Saccharomyces cerevisiae S288C: one gene and its partners. The gene in region 1 interacts genetically with each later gene. Each region holds a gene or a part of one and is shown on either strand. Other genes may lie near its edges. The genes, in order: RAS2, BCY1 and TPK2.

The links.
Region 2: of RAS2 (region 1) and BCY1, a mutation in one rescues a mutant of the other (synthetic rescue), as found in Saccharomyces cerevisiae (6 studies listed by BioGRID, with this or other methods).
Region 3: of RAS2 (region 1) and TPK2, extra expression of one rescues a mutant of the other (dosage rescue), as found in Saccharomyces cerevisiae (5 studies listed by BioGRID, with this or other methods).

Annotation. Positions count from the first base shown.
Region 1 is NC_001146.8:438,658-443,150, forward strand, and holds RAS2 (Ras family GTPase RAS2), read right to left. Parts: upstream 1,914-4,493; coding exon 945-1,913; downstream 1-944. Other genes in the region: putative tyrosine protein phosphatase OCA1, read right to left, coding at 1-626; PLS1 (Pls1p), read right to left, coding at 2,140-2,262; PHO23 (Pho23p), read right to left, coding at 2,709-3,701. UniProt on the Saccharomyces cerevisiae protein: The S.cerevisiae Ras proteins modulate the activity of the adenylate cyclase catalytic subunit and therefore affect the biosynthesis of cyclic-AMP.
Region 2 is NC_001141.2:290,070-293,669, forward strand, and holds BCY1 (cAMP-dependent protein kinase regulatory subunit BCY1), read right to left. Parts: upstream 1,601-3,600; coding exon 350-1,600; downstream 1-349. Other genes in the region: CAP2 (F-actin-capping protein subunit beta), read right to left, coding at 1-20; SUMO protease ULP2, read left to right, coding at 2,564-3,600. UniProt on the Saccharomyces cerevisiae protein: Regulatory subunit of the cyclic AMP-dependent protein kinase (PKA), an effector of the Ras/cAMP pathway. Inhibits PKA activity in the absence of cAMP. cAMP activates PKA and promotes growth and proliferation in response to good nutrient conditions.
Region 3 is NC_001148.4:164,389-169,395, reverse strand, and holds TPK2 (cAMP-dependent protein kinase catalytic subunit TPK2), read right to left. Parts: upstream 3,141-5,007; coding exon 1,998-3,140; downstream 1-1,997. Other genes in the region: AFT2 (Aft2p), read left to right, coding at 58-1,308; serine/threonine protein kinase HRR25, read right to left, coding at 3,636-5,007.

The DNA of each region.
Region 1 (4,493 bases):
AGAATTCTACCACCTCTGCTACCAGTAAAGCGTCTATATTCTTCGGATACACTGGCTAAGTTCCAACCCATTATTCTTCTGAGACATCCAATGACTGTCCCAGTCCTATGTCTTCCCATACCACAGCACACTAGCAAGGGATAATTCTCTTGAGTGACGATCGTTTGTAGTACATTAATTATAGAATGTTCAGTGAGACCGTCCCATGGATTATCGTCCTCACCGGCATCCGGGTTGATGGCTGCGAATTGTAAGTTTATTCTATGAGTATCACAAAACTCTAGGAGGGTATCTTGAGGTTCTTCGTTAGACAGCCATATAATTGTTTTCAGTTTTAGGTTTAGTAAAAAGGGGAAATTCACAGGTGAAGGCTGACCAGATCTATAGAGGTATCTTTCAACGGGACAGAAATTCAAAGGTGGAACGATACGTTCTTGTGGGGCATGTGATACCAAGACCTTTTCGCGACCAGATTCTGTTTCTTCATTGATATATATATGATCATCATCGTCGTCTTCTTCCTCGTCTTCGTCTTCTACTTCTTCTTCAGGTACGGATACGTTCTCTTCTGTGAGGCGGGACTCATCCTCTGGAACGTCCTCATATTCACCAACTTTAGATGTCATTCTAAGGGGAAAGAGAAGCTTGTTATTCCAGGTGGAACACCTCTTTCTTGTGAAAATGGATGTGATTGATGACTCTCTGCAATGTCCAATTTTATGTTATAGCGATGTTGTTTGTTTTTTCCTTTACCCGGCAACCATATGATATTGCCCAAAGTTTCCAATGTTAACAAGAATGAAACGGAAATAGCAAATGGCAATAAGCAATATAAAAACAGTCACTTTTTTATTTACTTTTGTATATATTTATAAATGTGTGTACTCGTTTCAACTTTATAGAGTTCTTTTCGTCTTAGCGTTTCTACAACTATTTCCTTTTTATTAACTTATAATACAACAGCCACCCGATCCGCTCTTGGAGGCTTCACTGGTGTTACCGCCGGGTGCAGCTTGCTGCTTCCTAGCCTGTTTAGCATTTGAAACTTGACCGGCCTTACTATTATTATTTACACGATTATTAACCGTATTAGCGCTTTGAGCGTTGGCCTGACCAGCTTGGCCCGTGGAATTGTCTATATTGGTGCGATCAGTTTGTGTCTTACCATTTGTCGCCTGGTTGCCTGCCAACCCTGTCTTACTCTCTATGCTTGCATTCCTGGCATTCACGACAGTTGTGCTACTGTTCACATTTTTACCGTTGGCAGCATTGCTCATCTTCCTGTGGCCACCGCTATTTCTAGGCACAGAGTTGGCACCGCTCCCTTTTGTATCTTGAGAAGTTTGCTTGGAGTTGTCATTTTCCGTCAAAGTCTTGTTGTACTTGCCGCCTTCGTCTCTAACTAAACGTGCTAGAGTGTAAAACGCCTCTTCCACGTTGATTGCTTGCTTAGCAGATGTCTCCAAGAAAGGAGCGTTCATTTGCTTTGCCATGTTCAACCCGTCCTGGTAAGAGACCTGTTTTTCGTTTTCTAAATCAGATTTGTTACCAACAACCACAATTGGAACATAGTCGGTATCTTTGACTCTCAATATCTGTTGATAGTAAGTCATAAGCTCATCAAGAGACGACTTGGACGTTATAGAGTAAACCAATAGGAATCCTTCGCCGTTGCGCATGTATTGTTCCCTCATAGCAGAGTATTCTTCCTGCCCTGCAGTATCCAAAATGTCCAATATAGACACTTCATCATCAATCACCACTTGCTTCCTGTATGAATCCTCAATTGTGGGATCGTATTCATCTACAAAGTGCGATTGGGTCAATTGTATGGTCAAAGCAGATTTACCAACACCACCACCACCAACGACGACTAGCTTGTACTCTCTTATGTTCGACTTGTTCAAAGGCATTTTTTTTTCTGTATATCTCCTTTCAATTCGAAAACGGTTAACTTGGTTTTTTTATCCGTAATTCTCTCGTATCTTTCTGCTCAAGTAATTTTCTCCTAGTTGATTAATATAGTGCAGAAGAGTCAGATAAAGAGTGGATGAATAAAATGGAAAAAAAACAAAAGCCGGATTGCGTTACGCTTGAAATGAGCGATTCTAGGCGATAAGAGAAGACAACGGCTAAAACTTAAGATGTTGGGGTACTATAAATGTTTACCCAGATTTTCGGTAGAAATGTTTGCTGATGTGAACCTTGTTTCCCGTTTTCCCAGATCCCCTTATTCCAGCTTTGTTTCGTCTTTGCTGTCATGTTCCGTTTAATTTCTGAAGGCCTGCCTAGCTTCACCGTCCTAAATGTCACGCTCCAGGCAGAGACATGGCGCAGGGGCGAGGCCAGGGGCAAAGGGGTCAGGCAGGAACCTCCAAGGGGGGCGAGGTGAATGAAAAGGTCCTTCTGAATAAAAAGCCTAAGCGATTAGCCACACCACCCACTGTACGGCGATTAGACTGAGCTGCTGGCGCTGCTACGCCGTGACAAGTCATTTCATCATTTATTACGTTTTATCGTGCCGTCATCACCATCGATTTGAATATTTTATCTAGACCGGTAGGGCCCAAGTATCTTGCAGATCCATTGATACGGCCACGCCCGTTAAAACGCTAAGATATATATATATGTAGCTAAGATATATATATATGTATATATTCGGTATTTAGTAGATATTTCCTTAAGGCGATATTCGCCCGAGAGCTATTTCACAGTTTTTTTTTGCAGTCGTCGCAATACCACTTGCCCTTAGGTAGAGTTTCGAGTCCAATACATGGCAAATGGAACCATTCTAGCTCACAGTCTGCGCCATCACACCCCACCATTTCCCCGTATGCCACTTGGTTACAGTAGCAGTAGAGCGGTTCGCCGTAGTCGTTGGTTTTTGGTCTTGATATCCTGCTGTTGTTGCTGTTTCCGACGCTGCTAACTCCCCTGGACGCTGTAGATGTACCTATCCTGCCATTATTGACGGCAGTTGCCGTGCTGATAGTGCTTGGTGAAACGGCTGTGGTGGCAACTCTCCTCTTGCGTTTTTTGGTCTCTGGATCGGCGTTGTTGGTATTGGCAGCGTTGGCTCTTTTTCTTGAGTTTGTGTTGTTACCAGTGTGGTCTTGGCTCTCGTGCCTGCTGCCTCCGTAGTTTGCGTCGTTCTTTGAGTCGTCTTGTTGGTGTGTGCTGGCGGAGTAATGTTCGCCCTGCCTCCTGTTGGCAGCCATGGCTTCTCTTCTTGATTCGCTCTTCAGTGCCTGCGACGATTTGCTGTTTGATTTGCTCTCTATTTTTTCCATTAGTTCATGATGGAGGTGCATTGCTGGATGGTTGTCCACACCCAGTCTTAAACCTCTAGGAATTTCTGTGTTCTTGATTGCGACTTCATACGCCAATTCTAACCGGGACGTCAATCTGTCTAGATTATCCAGCATAATGGATGAGACATGCATTTTCTCCTCCAGCGATGGCATCAGTTCTTCATAAATCTTGTTGATATTATTGAGCAGTCTTACTTGTGTTTGGTGATCTTTATTGAAGTCTTTCTTCAAGAACTTATCTATCCTCTCGTTCAAATTCGGCATAGAATGCACACATTTTGCATCTATTTCGTGTAGTAATGTTAAATATCTGGAGGTGGCCAGTGGGAATTCCTCCAGCACGTCAGTTATGTCGTTTAATCCAGGGAATAGGTTCGCTGGTGAACTCATTTGTACGTATTTCAGACTATGAACGTGGTTGCTGTTTGTGATACTGCAAGACTACAAACTTTTCTCCTTCCGGGTTCGTCCTGTTGTAAACGCCTAACTCTTTTCCTTAGGCTCCTTTTTCGTTTTTTCCCTAGCTCTTTCTTTCTTCTTCATGTGCATGCACTCTTTCCTACATATTTTTTTTTCAAGGGCATTTTTAACTTTCTTCGGAAATCGTCTAAGAATTGTAAACTATAATTGCAAATACGCGATTAGCTCTATCTAGAATACCGAAAAAAAGGTTTGCCACTCACAATTGGACGTGCCTCAATTATTTCAAGTATACGTCATTTGGGCTTTTGACTTGTAAAATATACTCAAATGAAATTCTGATTATACAAAGTTGAAACACGTAACACGCCATGTCAAGGTACGCGTAGAGGTAAGCAGATAATGCATGGACAATGTGCTGGGCGAAGAGGCGGATCTAATTACACATACTTGGGATCATCTAAGATTTCAGATGGTTATGTTAATGCTCACTTGTTCCACGCCTTTTTCCTTTCCTTCAGATAAGTAATCCGCATATCAATGTGAAAGAACTAACGGTTGTTGATGGACGTATCGTTGTCTAGCGATAAATAATGCTTTTTCTTCAACAAATAAGTGGTTGTTTGGCCGAGCGGTCTAAGGCGCCTGATTCAAGAAATATCTTGACCGCAGTTAACTGTGGGAATACTCAGGTATCGTAAGATGCAAGAGTTCGAATCTCTTAGCAACCATTATTTTTTTTCCTTTTTATCTGATTGCAGC
Region 2 (3,600 bases), on another chromosome or scaffold:
TCGAATTGAGCATCAGACATTACGGTGGTGATTGTAGAGTTGGAGAGAGTTTTTGTATGTCACTTGATTGAACAGTTCTCCTTTATTTGTTACAAATGCTCTCATTTTTACGTTTTCCGTGGTGAAAAAAAAAAAAAAAAATGAACATATATACATGTAGTAACAGCAGTAGTAGATGAAGAATTTAGAGTTTAAACAGGTAACATAACGCTATAAGGGAAAGGAAAGTGGAGATGTTATACATTATATTTACGTAGACGTTGAAGGAAGAAGAAAGAAAAAGGGAACAGAAGAAGAAGAAAAAGAGAAAGGAAATTCATGTGGATTTAAGATCGCTTCCCCTTTTTACTTAATGTCTTGTAGGATCATTGAGCTTTAATACGTCTACTGCAGGACCCAGTAAACGTTGAAAACCACTTTTCCCCAATGTGGCAACTTTGGTTCTCTTTGTAGCAGTCACAGTGGCCTGTCTGGGCAAATCGTTTAGCAAGGCCACTTCACCGAAATAATCATGGTCTTTCAGTTTATTTATGACACCTTGGCCCTTCTTAGAGACGTCCACAGCTCCGTACTCAATTAAATAAAAGTTCTCCCCTTGATCACCCTCGCGAATGATTGTTTCACCCGGCTGGTAGATCTTGGTATCCAGTGCATCGGCAAGTTTGGCACGGTCGTACGTAGTCAAACTCTTCAAAACTGGCATGCTCTTCAAAAGATCGTCATACATGAGTCTCTTCTTGAAAGAGCTGCCCAAAAGTATTTTTCTGAAGGTGAGCCTGTCTAGAGCCCACAACAAACAGTCGGAGGTTGCTACAACGGTGGCAGCACGAGGGCTGTTGTACATAAGAGCAAGTTCCCCGAAACTGGAGCCTGGCCCGGAAGAGTTGACCTTGTTGTCGTTGACGTAGAAGTCAACAGTACCCTTTTCGACGACATAGAAGTAGTCCCCTTGGTCACCTTGCTTGATTATCGTAGCACCTTTGGGGACGGACTTCTCCTCCAGACAATTTATGACCAGCCTTTTTGAGTCGGAATCCAGCTTGTTGAACAGAAAGTTATTACGGATCGATTTTTCCAGTCTTTGCAATTGCTGCTCGGACTTTTCCTTATAGTGATCTGGAGTCCAATCGTCAAAATTGTTTGGTTGTAAGGTCTCACCACTAACAGAAGTACGCCTTTGGGCGTTGAAGTGCATTGGGAGTGGAGGAGTTGATGTCTTTTCTCTAGTATGCTGTTGTTCTTCCTGTGCTTGCTGGTGAGTGTCCTGTTCGTGCGGGTCTAAATTAAACCCACTTTTAAACACGTTGGAGTGTGGGTCCTCGTTCACAAAGGGGGATTTGAACATAACACTCGATCTGGATCTTGATTGAGATTGAGCTGATTGAGGTCTGGAAAATGACTCCTCTGGTTCCGGAAATAGAACAATGTTCTTTGCCTTAAATTCAGGCTCCCTGGCCTTGAGGAACGCTCTCTGTTGTTCCAGCCTTTTATTGAAATAGTTGGCGGAGAACTGAAGAAAGTCGGACGGATTAGCGGCGTTGATTTCGTTCTGGAACAGTTGCAATTCGGCTTGCGATTCCTTGGGCAAAGAAGATACCATCGTTTATTCTTACTGTTGTCTTTTGAAAATAATCTGCTTGTTGTAAATGATCTTCCTATTTATGTATGCGTGAAATGCGTGTAATGGATGTGATGATAGCGATCGCTTGACTTAGTCGAGGAAAGCGTAAAGTGTCCCTTTTTCTCTTTCCCTTTTCCCTGTTTGTTCAAATTTTCTCTTTTCTACCTTCCTCTTCGTTTTGCTCCTTGCCAGCAAAACGAGGAAGGACAAGAATTTTGGAGAGCGGCGGCGCGGCGCCATAATAAATGCACTTGAGCAAATGCAATAAGTTCAGCTTATGGCTTCTGCAACAAAGAAGAGGTCGGAATCCGAGCACAGTATAATCAATATATTATCAGGCAGAACAAAAGTGGCGGGTATAACACGAAGAAAGAAGGAAGGGTGGTGATTGGGTGCTTTGTTTTTTTCCGCTCGTCGTGGTGGCATGCGCTTTTTTTTTCTTGGGTGAAGATTAGCCGCCGAAGTCGTATGCTCCTCTTTTGAGCGTTTTGAAAGATAGAAAAAAGCTGAGTAAGTAAAATCGTCGGCGGCTAATCTGAAAAGTATATAAAGTCCTTTATATTTTCCACTCGTATTCTTTTCCCTCCTCCTTTTTTTTTTTACTTTCTCACGTATGGCTTGTTTCATTTATTATCAGATCAGTAATCACGTGCCGTGTCGTTAGAAATGACATTTGGTTCTTTGCCTTCTTTGTCCTTTTTCTATCTTCCTACTAAGAGAAACTATTATACAATACAATAAGAGAACATCGTGAAACAACATAAAAGATATCACGTCATCAGAGAGAGATAAAACATCACAACCAATTACATTACAGTGTATTCGTTTCTTCTTAGAGAGAGAAATAAAGAGCGGGATAAAAGGACACTACACAGTATACCCCATACCCAGGTGCAATAATACACGTATATCTATGTTTATTGCACATCAAACCCCACATATATGTCTGCCAGAAAACGCAAGTTTAATAGTCTCAAACCGCTAGACACCTTGAACAGCTCTCGTGCCAGCTCTCCAAGGTCCTCTGCTTCTCTACCGCCCAAAAGATATAACACTTTTCGTAAGGATCCGAAAATCGTTGATCATCTAAACAATGCTTCTACAAAGGATTTCTTACCAGTTTTGAGTATGAACAGCGAGAGTAAGAGGCAGATCGAATTGTCGGATAATGATGTTGATAATAATGATGAAGGTGAAGGCGTCAACAGTGGCTGTTCAGATCAAGATTTTGAACCTTTGCAAAGCTCTCCTTTGAAAAGACACTCATCACTCAAAAGCACTTCCAATGGTCTTTTGTTCCAAATGTCTAATAATCTGGGGAATGGTTCACCGGAACCGGCAGTAGCGAGCACTTCTCCAAATGGCTCAATTATTTCCACTAAACTAAATTTGAACGGCCAATTTTCTTGCGTTGATTCGAAAACATTGCGAATTTATCGGCATAAAGCACCATGCATAATGACTTTTGTCTCAGATCATAATCATCCGAAATTTTCATTGTATTTTCAACAATCGGTGATCTACAATTCACAAGTTAATCTGCTTGATGATGTTGAATTGATAATTTTAGATAAGAAGAACTCTTTTATGGCTATAATTTTAAAAGATCTGAAAAAGGTCAAGATGATACTAGACGTGAATAACTCTTCAATCAACATTAACACGAACATCTTGATATGGTCCACTGCAAGCTCCGCTTCAAATAAAAAAATAAAGTCTATTAAAAGATTCCTGTTGATGTCATATTCTTCGTCGATAAAAGTCGAAATTTTAGATCATAAAGAGCAGATTTTGGAAAGACTAAAACATCTGATTCATCCTATTTCTTCGTCATCACCTTCATTGAACATGGAAAGGGCAATAAACTCCACTAAAAATGCATTCGACTCTTTAAGACTTAAAAAAACTAAACTTTCTACTAATGATGATGAAAGTCCGCAAATTCATACTCATTTCTTATCAAACAAACCTCATGGTTT
Region 3 (5,007 bases), on another chromosome or scaffold:
GTTGTAGTGACCAGAAACTCTGGCGCAAATTAATCAAGAGAAAGCGACCCCCAAGAAATGAAAGCAAAGTCGATGAAGAGCATAATATCTGTGCCAATATCAGTGTCTAAAACAGGGAAAATGAAGTTAACAGCATCTCCCGATAATCTAGCATCTATGATGTCTAAAGACCAAAATAAACTTATTCATTTAGACCCAGTTCCGTCTTTTGAGGACAGGCACGAGATTAAACCGTGGCTACAGAAAATATTCTATCCTCAAGGAATAGATATAGTCATCGAAAGATCAGATAGTAGCAAAGTTACTTTTAAGTGTAGGTCAGTACGATCGAAAGTAGGGTTGAACCCTAAATCCAAAGGTTCCTCTTCAAGATCCCATGCATGTCCATTTAGAATTAGAGCAGCCTACTCTGTGCGGTTACAGAAGTGGAACGTGGTTGTTATGAATAACATACATTCACATGAGCTGAGATTTGATTTGATTACTAAAACGGATGACTATAAAAAGTTTAAGGAAAATCTTCGTCAGAAGAACGACGAAAAAGCCATCAAAACATTTGATGAATTAGAATATAAAGCAAGTCTAAACTTACCACTCGTCACACCAATTATTTCTTGTGACTGTGGGTTAACCAAGGAAATTGAAGCTTTCAATAACATTTTTCTCCCACTATCAAACCCCCCTTTGACGTCTAAAAAAAATTTGCTCAAAACAAATAAAAACTCCGTTTCTAAAATAAAATCCAGACAGATGGATAATTCGAAACCTAGGCCAAGGTTGAAAACGAAGTTGGATGCGGATCTACATGATACCGGATTTTTAGACAATTTCAAAACGCGGAATTCCTGTGTAAAGATAGAGAAAGAAGATTCTTTAACGAACTTAAACGAAATTGATTTTACGAACATGTTTTGCAACGACAATTTCATCCAAAATTACAACCAAGGCCTGATGGAACTTTTGACAGAACCTACACCAGGTCCTTCGTCCTCTTCTTGTATACTTCCTTCAACACCAACGAGGCCCTTGTCACAAAGCAAAATGGATATAGCCCTGTCAGAATCAACAACATCTTCACCAAATTTTATGGAAACAGACGCTCCTTATGGAGATGAGATCATTAAAGTTTCCAAAGATACCAAAAGCAACGCACCAACTGCTGATACAGATATTGCTACGAACTTAGGCAAAGAGAGAAACGAAAATTTTGGCATGTTAAACTACAACTACGAAGCGTTGCTTCATTTCAACGATGAGCATTTTAATGAATTAAATTCTATTGACCCAGCCTTAATATCAAAATATTAATTATTTAGTTTTCAACTCATTAAAACGGTATCACGTTTAAATATGTGACAAGATCTGATGGACATGAATAATGGTGATATCAGCACCATCGAGGGATTTTGGACCTTAGACTTTTTAAAGCTACGGAGGACTTAAAGCATGTCGATACAAATAAGATATATCATGGCTTCATGCGCTCAAAAGTTTTATTCTTCAAGTTTGTTGATTATAATATGGTTCACGTGCGCTTCATCTTTTCATAGGTAATGCACCGCAACATTCAATTATCTAAAAAACTTTCAGGCGTGCCGGTCCCCTAATTTTTGCACTGAGATCATGAGATCAGTAAGTAAAAGCTCATATAGGAAATAATCATATAGAAAAAAGCAGAGGAATGATATTCGAACATTTTCTATACATCACCCCTCCTATTTTTAGATGAATCTCTAAGATCTAAATGCCCTCAACTTAAATATGATATTGAATTAAAATGAATTGTAGTATAGAAGATATTTAGGGCAACGCTTGTTCTTCTCATCTCTTTTTCTTTTTTTACAATATGAACTAGCTTAAAACAGACCACAAATAAGGCATCCGTTAGGTAAAATATAAAGAAAGTGCGCCAGATTTTGGTGGAGGAAAAAAGAGAAAGGAAAAGGAGTGAGAGAAAGTACTTGAAAATTGTTTTTGTGTTTTTTGGTTCATGGAACTTAGAAATCTTGAAAGTATTCAGCATATGGATCATCGCCTTGAATACCATAATCTAGCTGCTCCTCGGGATATTGATCGAATAAAGACGTGTCACCGATACCTGATGTGATAGGAGGCTCGTATGGAGTTTCAATATCCTTTGCTAACAATCTTTCCCATACAACTTCACTAAACCATGGGTGAGCTTTGATGTCCCTGGAACCGCTTTGTAAATTACCGATTCTTCTTGTCAAATCTGCAGTGATCAGTTTGCTTAGTAGATCCACGACGTCGGGATGAAAATATGGTGGATATACTACTTTACCTTGTAAAATCTTTTCATACGTCTTCATTGGAGTAGTATCGTAAAAGGGTGTATAACCAGCTAACATTTCGTAGATTAGAACACCTAGAGACCACCAATCCACCGACTTATTATATGGCTTTGTGGTAATAACTTCAGGAGCAATGTAATCAGGAGTCCCACAAAGCGTCCATGTGACAGTTTGTACCTCTTTGGCGAACCCAAAATCGGTTATTTTAATGTGGCCATTTCTATCCAGCAAGATATTTTCTGGCTTTAAATCCCTGTAGATGATATTATGAGCATGCAAGTACTCTAATGCCAGTATGACTTCCGCAGCGTAAAATTTTGCTACAGGATTAGGAAATCTTTGTGACTTTCTCAGTAACGAGAAAAGTTCACCACCTTCGATATAATCCATCACCATAAAGATATTCCTAGCATCTTGAAACGTACCCCACATTCTAATCAGAAACGGATGCTCCACAAGCTTTAGCATACGTCGTTCGTCATTGGTATGTTCAACCTGTTTCATCTTGACAACTTGTTGTTTCTTTAAAACTTTTATAGCATAATACCGACCATTGTGAACAGAGCGCACCAAATGAACCCTACCAAAAGATCCAGTACCAAGCGTTCTCATAATCTGGAAGTCATGTAGTGTATATTTGCCTTTGGATACGAGAGATTTCTGGGGCAACTGAGACGTCAGCAGTTGTTGATGCTGACGCTGCTGTTGTTGTTGTTGTCGCTGCTGTAAATCATGATGCGGTTGTAGGACGCCTTGCCCGTAAGTATTAACATTTTGCTGCTGGATTGTTTGACCAACTGGCTGAGCCCTTTCTGCAACGAATTCCATACCGACAATTTTCAACAGTATGTGAGTTAACCTGAGTGAAGCTGCTGTTTGTGCCGGCTGTATATTTGCACAAACTTCCTTGGTATTCCGTCGTTATCGTCTCGTGATTGTTTCCTAATCAGACACTATAAGGCAAGTTAATTATCGAAAATACGAATTGATGCTGTCTTCTCAGAGGCCCTCCTTTAAAACCGTCCAATATTCGTGATTGATCTTCGATCGTTAGCCCTTTATTACATAAAAAAAAAACAAATTGGCCAAGAGGTGCTCCGCTCCCCCTTAATTTCCTTCCCGAAGAAAAAAATGCATAAAAAAAGTGGTTCTTTTAGCTATCATCTTTTTAGGTAAGAAGGCCAGAATTGTATATATTAACTCGATATGGAATTGTGTGTACGTATATGTAAATAATAATAATAATATATATATATATATGTGTGTGTGTATGTCTATATATACATATGTTTATTTTTGTGCGTTTTGAGCAATATATGTTGCTTACAACCAAATTGACTGGCCAGCTGGTTTATCTTGAGGCGGCTGTTGTGGATTAGATCTCATTTGTGGAGGTACAGATGCTTGATTAGTATTAAAATTATTGCTGTTTATTTGTGGGGGATACTGAGTAGCCCTGGTTGTAGCCATCGGAACTTGCTGCTGTTGCTCCTGAGAATCTCTTTGTTGCTGCTGTAGTAACGGTTCAGGATAATAATTTGGTCTTTGGCCATTTGGTTGCTGCTGTAGCTGTTGGGGCTGTGGTTGTGGCTGCGAACTTTGGACCTGCTGCTGCGGCTGCTGTTGTCTCAAGTTTTCCATACCTTTATCTAGTGCGTTCAATAATTCCTCTGGTAAAGAAGAGGCTGCATTATTATTCAAGATAGTTTGTTGTTTGATCTCTTCTGGTGAAGGATTATGTTTGTCTTCATTCTTGTAATAGTGGAAATGGGTGGGGAATTTCTTCATGGCTAACAGTTTAATCTTGTTGAAAGTTTCAGACTTGTTGTCTGTGCTGTTACTTGCACTTGCTGCATTGCTATTTGCGTTCAAATCACCTTTTTCGATGAGGAGGTCCCTTTGCTTCTCCACCATCGCCTTTGTGTAACGCAACATTGTCCAATCGAACAAGTGGTCGTTGTGATACTCTAGTTTAATACTCAGATCTTTAAACAGCCTTGCCAAGAACAAATAATCTGGCTTCTCATCGAATTTCAAATTCTTACAGTAAGCCATATATTCTTGAAACTCTAATGGTAAACCTGAACATAGAGTTTCCACGCTAACGTTTAATTTCTTTTCCATGATACGATCATACTTTTGTTTCTTGGTGGTTGCTTTCAAACCCTGCCATGGCAAAGAACCCTTACAAAAATAGATCAAGACATAACCTAGTGATTCTAAGTCATCTCTTCTACTTTGCTCTATTCCAAGATGCGTATTGACACTTGCATAACGAGCTGTACCTGTCAAGGACTTGTTCTCCCTGTAAGGAATATGACGATGTGTGTTGAAATCTCGGTATTTCTTTGATAGACCGAAATCAATAACATGAACGGTGCTACCACGGCGTCCTACCCCCATTAAAAAGTTGTCTGGTTTGATATCTCTATGAATGAACGACCTTCCATGTATATACTGAATACGGCAAAACATTTGCAAAGCCAGCATGATAACCGTCTTAAAGGAGAACCTTCTGTGACAGTAGTTGAATAAATCTTCCAAAGATGGGCCTAGAAGATCGATGACCATAGCATTATATTCACCCTCTCTGCCAAACCATCTGATGAACGGGATTCCCACACCACCGCTTAAGTATCTGTAGACGCGGGACTCATAGTCCAATTGAGGATGTCTGGACCTGATCGATTCCAGC